Linked DNA regions of Arabidopsis thaliana. The protein of the gene in region 1 interacts with the protein of each later gene in a pairwise test. Each region holds a gene or a part of one and is shown on either strand. Other genes may lie near its edges.

Evidence for each region.
Region 2: the proteins of SHH1 (region 1) and CHR38 interact in a two-hybrid assay, tested with the Arabidopsis thaliana proteins (one study listed by BioGRID).

What each region holds. Positions count from the first base shown.
Region 1 is NC_003070.9:5,235,816-5,240,498, reverse strand, and holds SHH1 (SAWADEE HOMEODOMAIN protein), read right to left. Parts: upstream 2,456-4,683; 5' UTR 2,404-2,455; coding exon 2,350-2,403; intron 2,271-2,349; coding exon 2,185-2,270; intron 2,026-2,184; coding exon 1,980-2,025; intron 1,891-1,979; coding exon 1,722-1,890; intron 1,645-1,721; coding exon 1,584-1,644; intron 1,318-1,583; coding exon 1,266-1,317; coding exon of another isoform or gene 1,242-1,265; intron 1,205-1,241; coding exon 1,061-1,204; intron 969-1,060; coding exon 786-968; downstream 1-785. Other genes in the region: CCMH (cytochrome c biogenesis protein family), read left to right, coding at 1-28; ABCG35 (pleiotropic drug resistance 7), read left to right, coding at 3,926-4,683. UniProt on the Arabidopsis thaliana protein: Involved in RNA-directed DNA methylation (RdDM). Required for the silencing of some endogenous RdDM targets and accumulation of 24-nt siRNAs, but not for the production of Pol V-dependent transcripts.
Region 2 is NC_003074.8:14,754,968-14,761,744, reverse strand, and holds CHR38 (chromatin remodeling 38), read left to right. Parts: upstream 1-1,659; coding exon 1,660-1,708; intron 1,709-1,822; coding exon 1,823-2,055; intron 2,056-2,151; coding exon 2,152-3,567; intron 3,568-3,671; coding exon 3,672-3,815; intron 3,816-3,904; coding exon 3,905-5,839; 3' UTR 5,840-5,947; downstream 5,948-6,777. Other genes in the region: AT3G42660 (transducin family protein / WD-40 repeat family protein), read right to left, coding at 6,044-6,436, 6,533-6,663, 6,761-6,777. UniProt on the Arabidopsis thaliana protein: Probable chromatin remodeling factor. Required for the initial establishment of DNA methylation and for accumulation of 24-nt siRNAs.

The sequences.
Region 1 (4,683 bases):
CCGATTGAGGAGATGGCTCAACCGGTAGTTCCCGTGTCTCCTTAGCTCTCTTGTTCTTGGCTCGAATCTTGTTGTGTTAACAAGTAAACAATGTGTTGAAAAGAGTGAGTACACATTGATTGTCTTGGAGAAACAGATAGGGACTGCTTTGCATCCATTACAAGCAAATGGATTCTTCTGTAGAAGATCTTGGGATGAGATATGTATCGAGAAAGCATTATTGAAAGTGTGATACTTGTTGTACCTTTGCTGTGTGATTGAATACAGAGAGCGGGTCGATAGTTATATTACTTTCGGCACAAAGATTTATTTCTTTCCAAATAGTTTTTGTGCTAAATGAGCTTTTTTCCACATCTTTATCTTAATAAGCCGAAGCTCACAAAATGTATTGACCTGCGTATTGTATATACAAGAAGCAATGAGTAAACAGAAAGAAATAGTCTTGCTCACAAGAATGAGACTGTATGTTGAACATTACATAGGGTGTTAACTGGTTAAGCATTTGGGTATTATTACATTGTACCATCACCATTCCCTTTACAATTCTAAGCTTTTGCACTTTATTCCACATAGTTGACAGAAAAAAACTAACATAGAATCCTAGGGCCGGTAGGTACTTAGTAGTGGAAGTCTATACATGAGCATGTTATTCCATTTTTGGGTCAGTCATATACTATATAGTCATAGTTTACTGCATCTTCCAAATATGACTTCAAAACCAAAAAAAATTACTCTTCAGGGCGGCGGCAAATTCTTTCTAGTCCCAGCGATTCCTGAACATACACTTAACACAAAACTTCGTCAATAGTTCCCACACCCAACAAAAAGGCTGAGATCAATCTTCTTACCTCTGTATTGTCAAGCTCGTAGCGAACAAGAAACACGCAGTTACATCTCGCGTGATCATGAATCCCTCTCTTGATATTCAAAACATGACCATCACAGTAGAGTGCTTGATCCTCTCTTTCCTGCTCATTAACCACCCCAACTTTCATTTTTAAGTTCAAATTTCTTTTGTTAAATGTTCCATCCTTCATAATTAGATCAAAGTCAGCCTTACTTGGAAACATAGAAGCAGGTCTCCAACGTTCACTCTCCCACACTCTGATGGTTCTACAGGAATAGACCGCTCACGCACTGATGTTTTGACGTTTACCCACTCATCGTGTCGGTTGTCGAACCCAGAAAACCGTACACGCACTTCCTGTTGCAGACACTCTTAGTTGCAAACAAATCATCCATTAAACAAAAGAGAAAAAGCTTACCAGTTCACCAGTGCGAAGAACTCTATAAGTAAGGAACGAAGACACGTCATACCTGAAAGACCAGAATTCCAGCAAATAAGCACAGATATAAAACACAAACGTATATTACAAGTCCAAAAATTAGGCTTTATATGAATAACGTTCTTTCTTAAGTTCACACTGAATAGGTAAGGGCATTCCTCGTTGAGTTAACAATCAACAGAGAGTTCACATTTCAGGTTCTTACTTAGGCCACTTAACAAAGTCATATGCTAGCAGTAGTCCAAGAGTTAAAGCAAAAATAGAAACATGATATTCAATGCAAGGAAACGTTCTTACCACGCGTAGTCCCGCGCTGATTTAGCCTCAAAAGCCAGATCAGCTAAATCAGAGGCCTTGCCTGTGTATGAAAATGTTCATAGGCGTTATAAGGCGTTAACTAAAAGAATCAAATATGGCACACAAGAAAAGGAAAACCTTTTCGTGTTTGAACAAAGGTAGAATTCCCAACAAAGGTAGCATTTGAGGCATTTGAAGCATAAGAACTGGGATTAGATAAGTCATGAATCTGCAAAGGGGGAGATGGCAAAGTTTTGGATTTTGGTTGGCTTTGATGCTTCAGCTTCTCCTGGAACCAAATCTGTACCTGAAAACATTTTGATTCAAAAAAAAAAGTTATTTCTACTCTATTTGCATTTTTTACCAGTTAGCTCTATGAAGAAAAAAGAGACGCACCTGTTTCCAGGTTATAGAGGATTTGCCATTCCGATTCACAGAACAACTATAAGAGAAAATGGAAGAAGACATAAAGATTTTTTAGATACTGTGCATGAAAATCAATAATCCTACTATTCCTATAAATCCACAAAATGCTTGTGTCTCGATTCTCTAACAAACACATTCACATGATCAAATTCTCGTAAAATTCAGAATAAAGTACCTAAAAGTAGAGGCAACAGTTTGACAGAAATCTTTGTGGAGAGATTGGTCACCGAGCTCCTTATACAGATTCTCCATGTCTACAATCTTCGAATAAGAAGAGCAATAAGATCACAAAGCATGAATCTCTAATCTAAGAAAACGAATGATAGAAAGCATAGATAACCTCAGACAAGGTAAACTCGGTGAAATAGTGAGAGGAATCATCGGAAGCAGCCATTATCGAGCGCACAAGGAAGAAGAAGAAGAAGTGAAAAGGATCTTGAGCTAATTTGCTACTACACTGATGCCTTCAGAGTTCAGTGAGCTTTAGTGGGTTAATGGGCCTAAAATGGATAATAATAATATAAATGGGCTTAAACTCACTAATTTATTACCCATATGCTTGTTTTTTGGACCGTCTATTATTTTATTTTAACCACACTCATATAACTGTACTATTATTTAATATTTATAAATGACTTTGAAACAATCGAGACAGGATGAGGGAACCCGTCCGCGGGGAATCTTCCAAGTCATATGAGCTGGTGGTGCGTGGTGGAGTGTTTATTAATATTCATGATTACTGACATTATTAATCAAATACTATCATAGCATGTATAAGTATATAATTTAATCACAGCTAATCCTCACTAAGGCTCTACCTTCTTTTGTTGGCGACAACCCAGGCCCTTATTTCTCCAATACAAGATTCGTTACTAAACATATCAAATATACATTATTGTAATTAGTTAGTTAATTACACGTGCTTTAAAGCATTTTAAACGCACAAATTTGAAAATGATGGCAAAGGCCCTGATTGATTTTGACCGAGACACAAACACGCAAACATAGAAAATTTAATCAGGGATTTGTACTCGGTTACATAGCTGTCATTCTGTGTTACGTATTAATTACGGTATTTAACTAATCACGCACGCAGTAGATATACTATAACTTTACTTGATTAACAAAGCTAATAGCATCCATAAATTGGGGTCAAGATGTTTGAACTCATAACGAGTTACTTTGACATTTGTAGATTGTGTGTAGTTGGTACGAGGTCTACTAGTAAGTCATAACCAAATATAACTAATCGTAGTAGACTAATTCAATTTCTTACATAAGTCCCAAATTTTCTATACCTGTTCTGCACTAATCACTCCTCTCATTCTTATCACCATTGGTCCATTGCCATCTCTTGAATCCGTCAATCTTTTATTAATTTAAAAAGGCCACCTGCTCTATTGTTGACAATAGAAGGTGAGGAAAAACAAAACCAATCAAGCCAAAAAAAGACAACCTGTCTACATCATTAAGCACCAACCTTATACAAACGTATAAATCGAATTTTTAACTCGTGTATGATTGACTAGGCATCCTTCATTTTCCACATGGGCCATCCTGTTAAAAGATGTTTCATTATTGCATGGATTACTATAATAATCACAAGAATTTAAAAGGCACAATCAAGTGGTGCTTTTCTTTATAGTTTTCATTGGAGATTGTGATAAAATAACAGAGAGCACCAGAGGGGGAGCTTGCACTCGTCATTGTCCCTTACTCTTTTCTCTCTCAATGCTGCAGAGGCACTGACAAACACACCATCTTTGCTTATCTCTTTCTCTGTTTTCTTCAACGAAATTTACATATCATCCGTTTCTTCTACTCACATATGGATCCTATCAGTCTAATAGTCTAAAAGAAAGAAGAAGAAGCACTTAACTTAATAGAAACAGGATCAAGATTCATAAGATCTAAAGATGGATTACGATCCAGCTCATGCTATGAGCAGAGGTGGGAGTATGCGGCAAACCATAAGTCGTAGTGTAAGCAAAGCAAGCAGAAACATGGAAGACATATTCAATACAAGCTCTAGACGAACCAAATCTGTCAACGAAGACGAAGAAGCTCTCAAATGGGCTTCCATCGAGAAACTCCCTACCTACAACCGTCTCCGCACAAGTCTCATGCCTGAATTAGGCGAAGACGACGTCTACGGTAACCAAATCCTCAACAAAGCAGTTGACGTCACGAAGCTTGACGGCGAAGAACGTCAGAAGTTCATCGACATGGTCTTCAAAGTCGCAGAGCAGGACAACGAACGGATCTTGACAAAGCTAAGAAACAGAATCGACAGAGTTGGGATCCAACTTCCGACAGTAGAAGTGAGGTACGACCACTTGACTGTGAAAGCTGACTGTTACACCGGTGATAGATCTCTTCCTTCGCTTCTTAACGCGGTGAGAAACATGGGAGAAGCTGCTCTAGGCATGATCGGAATTAGGCTTGCCAAGAAAGCACAACTTACTATTCTCAAAGATGTTTCTGGTATCGTCAAACCTTCAAGGATGACACTTTTGTTGGGTCCTCCGTCTTCCGGGAAGACCACGCTTTTGTTGGCTCTTGCCGGTAAACTCGACAAGTCTCTTGACGTCTCTGGGGAGGTAACCTATAATGGTTATCGCCTCAATGAGTTTGTTCCCATTAAAACATCTGCTTACATTAGTCAGAACGATCT
Region 2 (6,777 bases), on another chromosome or scaffold:
TTTCTTTTCGATTCTAGTGAGAGCTGTTGCTAAAGCTAAAAAGAGAAAAAGATATTTAAGTAAAGTTTTCTATTAAACATTATATATTTTACTATCCATATCAAATCATGGAACATTCATAGCCACCCAAAACATTTTGAGTGCCACCAGCAAAAAAGGCCTAATCATATCAAAAAAAAAACATTTTTGTAAGTGTAAGAGTTGAACCTACTACCTATTGTTCTATCACCCAACGATTAACCAGTATAGTTATAAGAGATATTTGGAAAATAGATGACGGTTAATTAATAACTATATCTTATACCGTAAACACATGCTTCCCTAGCTTGTGACTAAGGCAGATTCTGGTAACAACTCATATTTTATGCATAAGATAAAGCTCACATAGACCTTGTTCAAAAGCATTACATATCCAACGATTTACAATAACTCTATCATTTACATTTCCAAATGTTATATATTTTAGTGTTTGTTTGATTTAATGGAAAAAAAAACAGTTTTGCATTAACTTTGTAAGGGATACAACAATTAAAAAAAGAGTCAGAAATAAAATAGAAAAATAATATAAACAAAAATAGAGAAATCTACTAAAGAAAACTAGATATTTGATCTTCCAACATATTAAACAGAAAAATAAAAAACTAAAGAGAAAAAAAATTAGAAATGGAGTAAAGAAAATACAGCAATTCACCGTTACCCTTAACTACTTTTTAAAATATTAAATGATATTTTCTTTTAGAATCTTGAAATAAAAATAAAAGTTTCTTTTTTGATATCAAAACCATATTAAAAACTCATCTTTTACTAATTTTAGTATAATAATTAAAAAACAAACTAAGTAAATGTTTTTGTTTTGTGCAAACTAAATGTTAAGTTCATGAATTTGTGTAAGATATTTTCCCTATAAACCTATCTCAATGTGGACCCAATAGGCCACCATGCACACAACTTGGCTTTTACTCTTTGTGTCAGTAAAATCTAAAGATAGTAAAGACAGACCAAATCGCAGCCGTTTATTTCCCATATAAAGAAGTACGTACATGGAAATGACAATAATACCCTCACTCCTTAAACCCTCCTCTTCTCTCACTTTATTTTTCAGTCTCTCTTTATTTCTCTCTATCACTTTTTATCGATTCTGCGCAAATTCATGCAAAAAGGGAAAATAAAAAGTTCTACACTGTCCCCAAGATTCTGCGTGAGTGTGGTATTGAATTCTTCGCCGTCCCTTTTCTATTTATCATATTTTGTTCCTTCTCTTATTTTCCTCTTAGTGTCAATCATGGACTAGAATCAACTCTCTTTTTCCCTCAAAGGTGATATATTGATTTTGTGTTCTGATCATAAAGTTGTGGTTTTTTCAATCTGGGTTTTGTTTGTTGTTGATGACGATCATGTTTCGTTTTTCATTTTGATACGACACTGTTACTCTGTTTTACACCTTTTTAGTACAATAATGTTGCTTTCGCACATTAACCAATATGATCAAGTTTTAAAGTTCATATATCATATATGTTCTGGGTTGTCTCTAGTTGCAGATAAAGTTTGAATCTTTTTTTTATTTGTCAAGTGGTGAATGAATCCTAATGAAGCTATACATGTATTGGTTACAGGAGATCATATGTGGATCCACAAGTGATCTTGAAGGGAAAGAAAAAAATGAAGAGAAAGCATTACTTTGAGTTTAACCATCCATTTAATCCATGTCGTAAGTGTTTTACAAGATCTGATGTTTTATTTTCTTACCTAAAATGTCATGCATTGAGATTTGAATGACTGCTGTTTCTTTACCTAAAATGCTCTGTTTTGTCTGTTGTGGTAGCTTTCGAGGTGTTCTGCTGGGGGACATGGAAGGCCGTGGAGTACTTAAGGATCGAGAATGGAACGATGACAATGCGTCTCTTAGAAAATGGACAAGTTTTGGATGATATAAAACCATTTCAGAGGCTTCGAATTAGATCAAGAAAGGCGACTTTGATCGACTGTACTTCTTTTTTAAGACCCGGTATCGATGTTTGCGTTCTTTATCAGAGAGATGAAGAGACTCCAGAACCAGTACATTCACTTTCTTCAATATGAAAGTCTTTAAATCTATGCGCATTTTTGCTGTTTTGAAACGTTTTGTGTGTGTGTGTGTGTGTGGTGGTGTAGGTTTGGGTGGATGCAAGGGTTTTATCTATAGAGAGGAAGCCTCATGAATCTGAATGCTTGTGTACGTTCCATGTCAGTGTTTATATAGACCAAGGCTGCATTGGTTTGGAGAAGCATAGAATGAATAAAGTTCCGGTACTCGTGGGACTCAACGAAATCGCCATCCTTCAAAAGTTTTGCAAGGAACAAAGCTTGGACCGTTACTATAGATGGAGATACTCTGAGGACTGTTCTTCGTTGGTGAAAACAAGACTAAACTTAGGGAAGTTCTTGCCTGATCTTACATGGTTGCTTGTTACATCAGTTTTGAAAAACATTGTGTTTCAGATTAGAACCGTTCACGAGAAGATGGTTTATCAGATTGTGACGGATGAAGATTGCGAAGGCTCTAGTAGCTCTTTGAGTGCAATGAACATTACGGTTGAAGACGGTGTTGTCATGTCTAAGGTTGTTTTGTTCAATCCAGCTGAGGATACTTGTCAAGATAGTGATGTAAAGGAGGAGATTGAAGAGGAGGTAATGGAGCTGCGTCGGTCCAAGAGAAGAAGCGGGCGGCCTGAGAGATACGGAGACTCTGAGATTCAGCCGGATTCGAAGGATGGATGGGTAAGGATGATGCCATATAGGTACAACATATGGAATGTTTCAAGTGATGATGATGATGAAGAAGAAGATTGCGAGGATGATAAAGATACTGATGATGATTTATACTTACCGTTATCGCATTTACTTAGAAAGAAAGGAAGCAAAAAGGGATTTAGTAAGGATAAGCAGAGAGAGATAGTTTTGGTAGACAAAACTGAGAGGAAGAAGAGAAAGAAAACAGAGGGATTTAGTCGAAGTTGTGAGCTTTCGGTTATTCCTTTCACTCCTGTCTTTGAACCTATACCGTTGGAACAGTTTGGTCTCAATGCAAATAGTTTGTGTGGTGGTGTCTCTGGAAATTTGATGGATGAGATCGATAAGTATCGTAGTAAAGCAGCGAAATACGGGAAGAAGAAGAAGAAGAAGATTGAAATGGAAGAGATGGAATCTGATCTAGGTTGGAATGGACCTATTGGGAATGTGGTTCATAAAAGAAATGGACCGCATTCTCGAATAAGGTCCGTTTCTAGGGAAACCGGAGTTTCTGAGGAACCGCAGATTTATAAGAAGAGAACGTTGAGCGCAGGTGCGTATAACAAGTTGATAGACTCGTACATGAGTAGAATTGATTCTACAATTGCAGCCAAGGACAAAGCAACCAATGTTGTTGAGCAGTGGCAAGGGTTAAAGAACCCCGCAAGCTTTTCGATCGAAGCCGAAGAAAGGTTGAGTGAGGAGGAGGAGGATGATGGCGAGACTTCAGAGAATGAGATTCTATGGAGGGAAATGGAACTATGCTTGGCTTCTTCTTACATTCTTGATGACCATGAGGTTATATATATATATACCTTTTGGAAATCTTTTTATATTTTCCTGAAAACATTCTTGATGACCATGAGCTTACATTTTTATATGTTTAATAGTTTGATTTGAAGTTTCAGGTGAGAGTGGATAACGAGGCGTTCCATAAAGCAACCTGTGATTGTGAACATGACTATGAATTGAATGAAGAAATCGGAATGTGTTGCAGATTGTGTGGTCATGTAGGAACTGAGATAAAACATGTTTCTGCACCTTTTGTAAGTGGAAACTCTATACCAGACAACATTTTGTCACCTACTTTCGATGAGTTACTTGTAATATATTTTGGTGGTATGGTTTTCGATAGGCGCGGCACAAGAAATGGACGACGGAGACTAAGCAAATCAACGAAGATGACATTAATACTACTATAGTTAACCAAGATGGAGTTGAGAGCCATACTTTCACTATACCAGTTGCTTCCTCAGATATGCCATCGGCTGAAGAAAGTGACAATGTCTGGTCTTTAATACCTCAGCTTAAGAGAAAACTGCATTTGCACCAGAAAAAAGCTTTTGAGTTTCTCTGGAAGAACCTAGCCGGGTCAGTGGTTCCCGCGATGATGGATCCGAGTTCAGATAAGATAGGTGGGTGTGTAGTTTCTCATACTCCCGGAGCAGGAAAAACATTTCTAATCATAGCTTTTCTCGCGAGCTACTTGAAGATATTTCCGGGTAAAAGACCTTTGGTTCTTGCTCCAAAAACAACTTTGTACACTTGGTACAAGGAGTTCATCAAATGGGAGATTCCGGTCCCTGTTCACTTGCTCCATGGTCGTAGAACCTACTGTATGTCCAAAGAGAAGACCATTCAGTTCGAGGGAATTCCAAAACCAAGCCAAGATGTTATGCATGTTCTTGACTGTTTAGACAAAATCCAGAAATGGCATGCACAGCCGAGTGTTCTTGTAATGGGTTACACATCGTTTCTAACTTTGATGAGGGAAGATTCAAAGTTTGCTCATAGAAAGTACATGGCTAAAGTACTGAGAGAGTCTCCTGGATTACTGGTTCTAGACGAGGGACATAACCCGAGGAGTACCAAGTCGAGATTACGAAAGGCCTTGATGAAAGTTGATACTGACTTGAGGATTCTGCTTTCTGGTACATTGTTTCAGAACAACTTCTGTGAGTACTTCAACACTTTGTGCTTGGCTAGACCCAAGTTTGTTCATGAGGTTCTAGTGGAGTTGGACAAGAAGTTCCAGACCAACCAAGCCGAGCAAAAGGCGCCTCACTTGCTTGAAAATAGAGCTCGGAAGTTCTTCCTTGACATTATAGCCAAGAAGATTGACACAAAAGTGGGCGATGAGCGCTTGCAGGGTCTCAACATGTTGAGGAATATGACGAGTGGTTTCATCGATAACTATGAAGGGAGTGGAAGCGGAAGTGGTGATGTTCTCCCAGGTTTGCAGATTTACACATTGTTGATGAATTCCACTGATGTACAGCACAAGAGTCTTACCAAACTTCAGAACATAATGTCAACTTACCATGGATATCCACTCGAGCTCGAGTTACTCATAACGTTAGCTGCTATCCATCCTTGGTTGGTCAAAACCACAACCTGTTGCGCCAAATTCTTCAACCCTCAGGAGCTTTTAGAGATTGAGAAGCTCAAGCACGATGCAAAGAAAGGATCAAAAGTCATGTTTGTGCTTAATCTTGTGTTCCGGGTGGTCAAGAGGGAGAAAATCCTCATATTTTGTCACAACATTGCGCCGATCCGCCTGTTTCTTGAGCTGTTCGAGAATGTATTCAGGTGGAAGAGAGGCCGAGAGCTCCTGACCTTGACAGGGGATCTCGAGCTGTTTGAAAGAGGCAGAGTAATAGACAAATTTGAAGAGCCAGGAGGCCAGTCCCGTGTTCTGCTGGCTTCGATTACAGCCTGTGCAGAAGGCATCAGTCTAACCGCTGCTTCACGGGTGATCATGCTTGATTCAGAGTGGAATCCTTCTAAGACAAAGCAAGCAATCGCACGTGCATTCAGACCGGGACAGCAGAAAGTGGTGTACGTTTACCAGCTCTTGTCGAGAGGAACACTTGAAGAAGACAAATACAGGAGGACGACCTGGAAAGAATGGGTCTCCAGTATGATTTTCAGTGAAGAATTTGTGGAGGACCCATCTCAATGGCAAGCTGAGAAGATTGAGGACGATGTTCTTAGAGAAATCGTGGAGGAAGACAAAGTCAAATCCTTCCATATGATCATGAAGAACGAGAAAGCTTCAACAGGTGGCTGATTGCTGAATTTTTCCAGTTCAAGTTTCTGTTTCACCATGCCTTTGATGATGATTCTTTAACAGCTTGTTGTATTGTAATATAAACTAATCCTGTATCATAAGTTTGTGTAATCATTCAGCTATAGCATCATAATATTTAATAAAGTGAAACAGATGTATTCATCATAATCTTGTTAAATAAAACAAAACCTCCAAATAAGATCATTAAACAGTTGATTTGAGGAACGGGTTTGAAGAACGTCGAGCTTCTCCTTGATTCACTTCCTTTTCCTGTCCCTTGTCTTCCTTGTTAACATTGTTCACCGGATTCTTCAAATTCAATTTCTTTATCTCTTTTATCTTCGCATCGTCACTTTTGTCTTTCTTTGTTTGTTCTTTTCCCAGCTTTAGACCTTCTGAAACTTTCGATTTCTTTAGAAGTGTAGGAGCAGATAGCTTAGTTGCAGAAGATTTCATAACTGCTTCTGTGTTTTCACTAGTCTGAATCGAAGCTGGAGGATTCTGGACCTTGGATTCAACTCTTGTAACTACTTCTCCGTTTGGATTCAGCGCAGGATTTGTTACCGCCGCCTCGCTAGCTTCTTCAAGCAACCTTTCCTGTTAGTGAAGAACCAAAAAATTAGCATTACGTCTGTATCTAATTTTTCTTCTCTTTTGTGCAAAATATAAGAAATGAAAGTACTTGTAGAGTACCTCGAGTATGCTGCTGAATTTCTCTGCCAAAAAAGGAAGCTTGAGTTTGGTAACCAGTGTTATTGCAGCTCTCATTGATTTTTCTAGAGTTAAAAGCTCCATAAGTTCACTGGCCCTTGCAAAACTATCACCTGAAAGATGTAAAGAATCTTGTTGTAAAAATCTGGACAGTAATGGTCTTAGAATATGAGTTCACACACAACACAAGCAGATATATATTTAACTTACTACTACAACACGAGCTG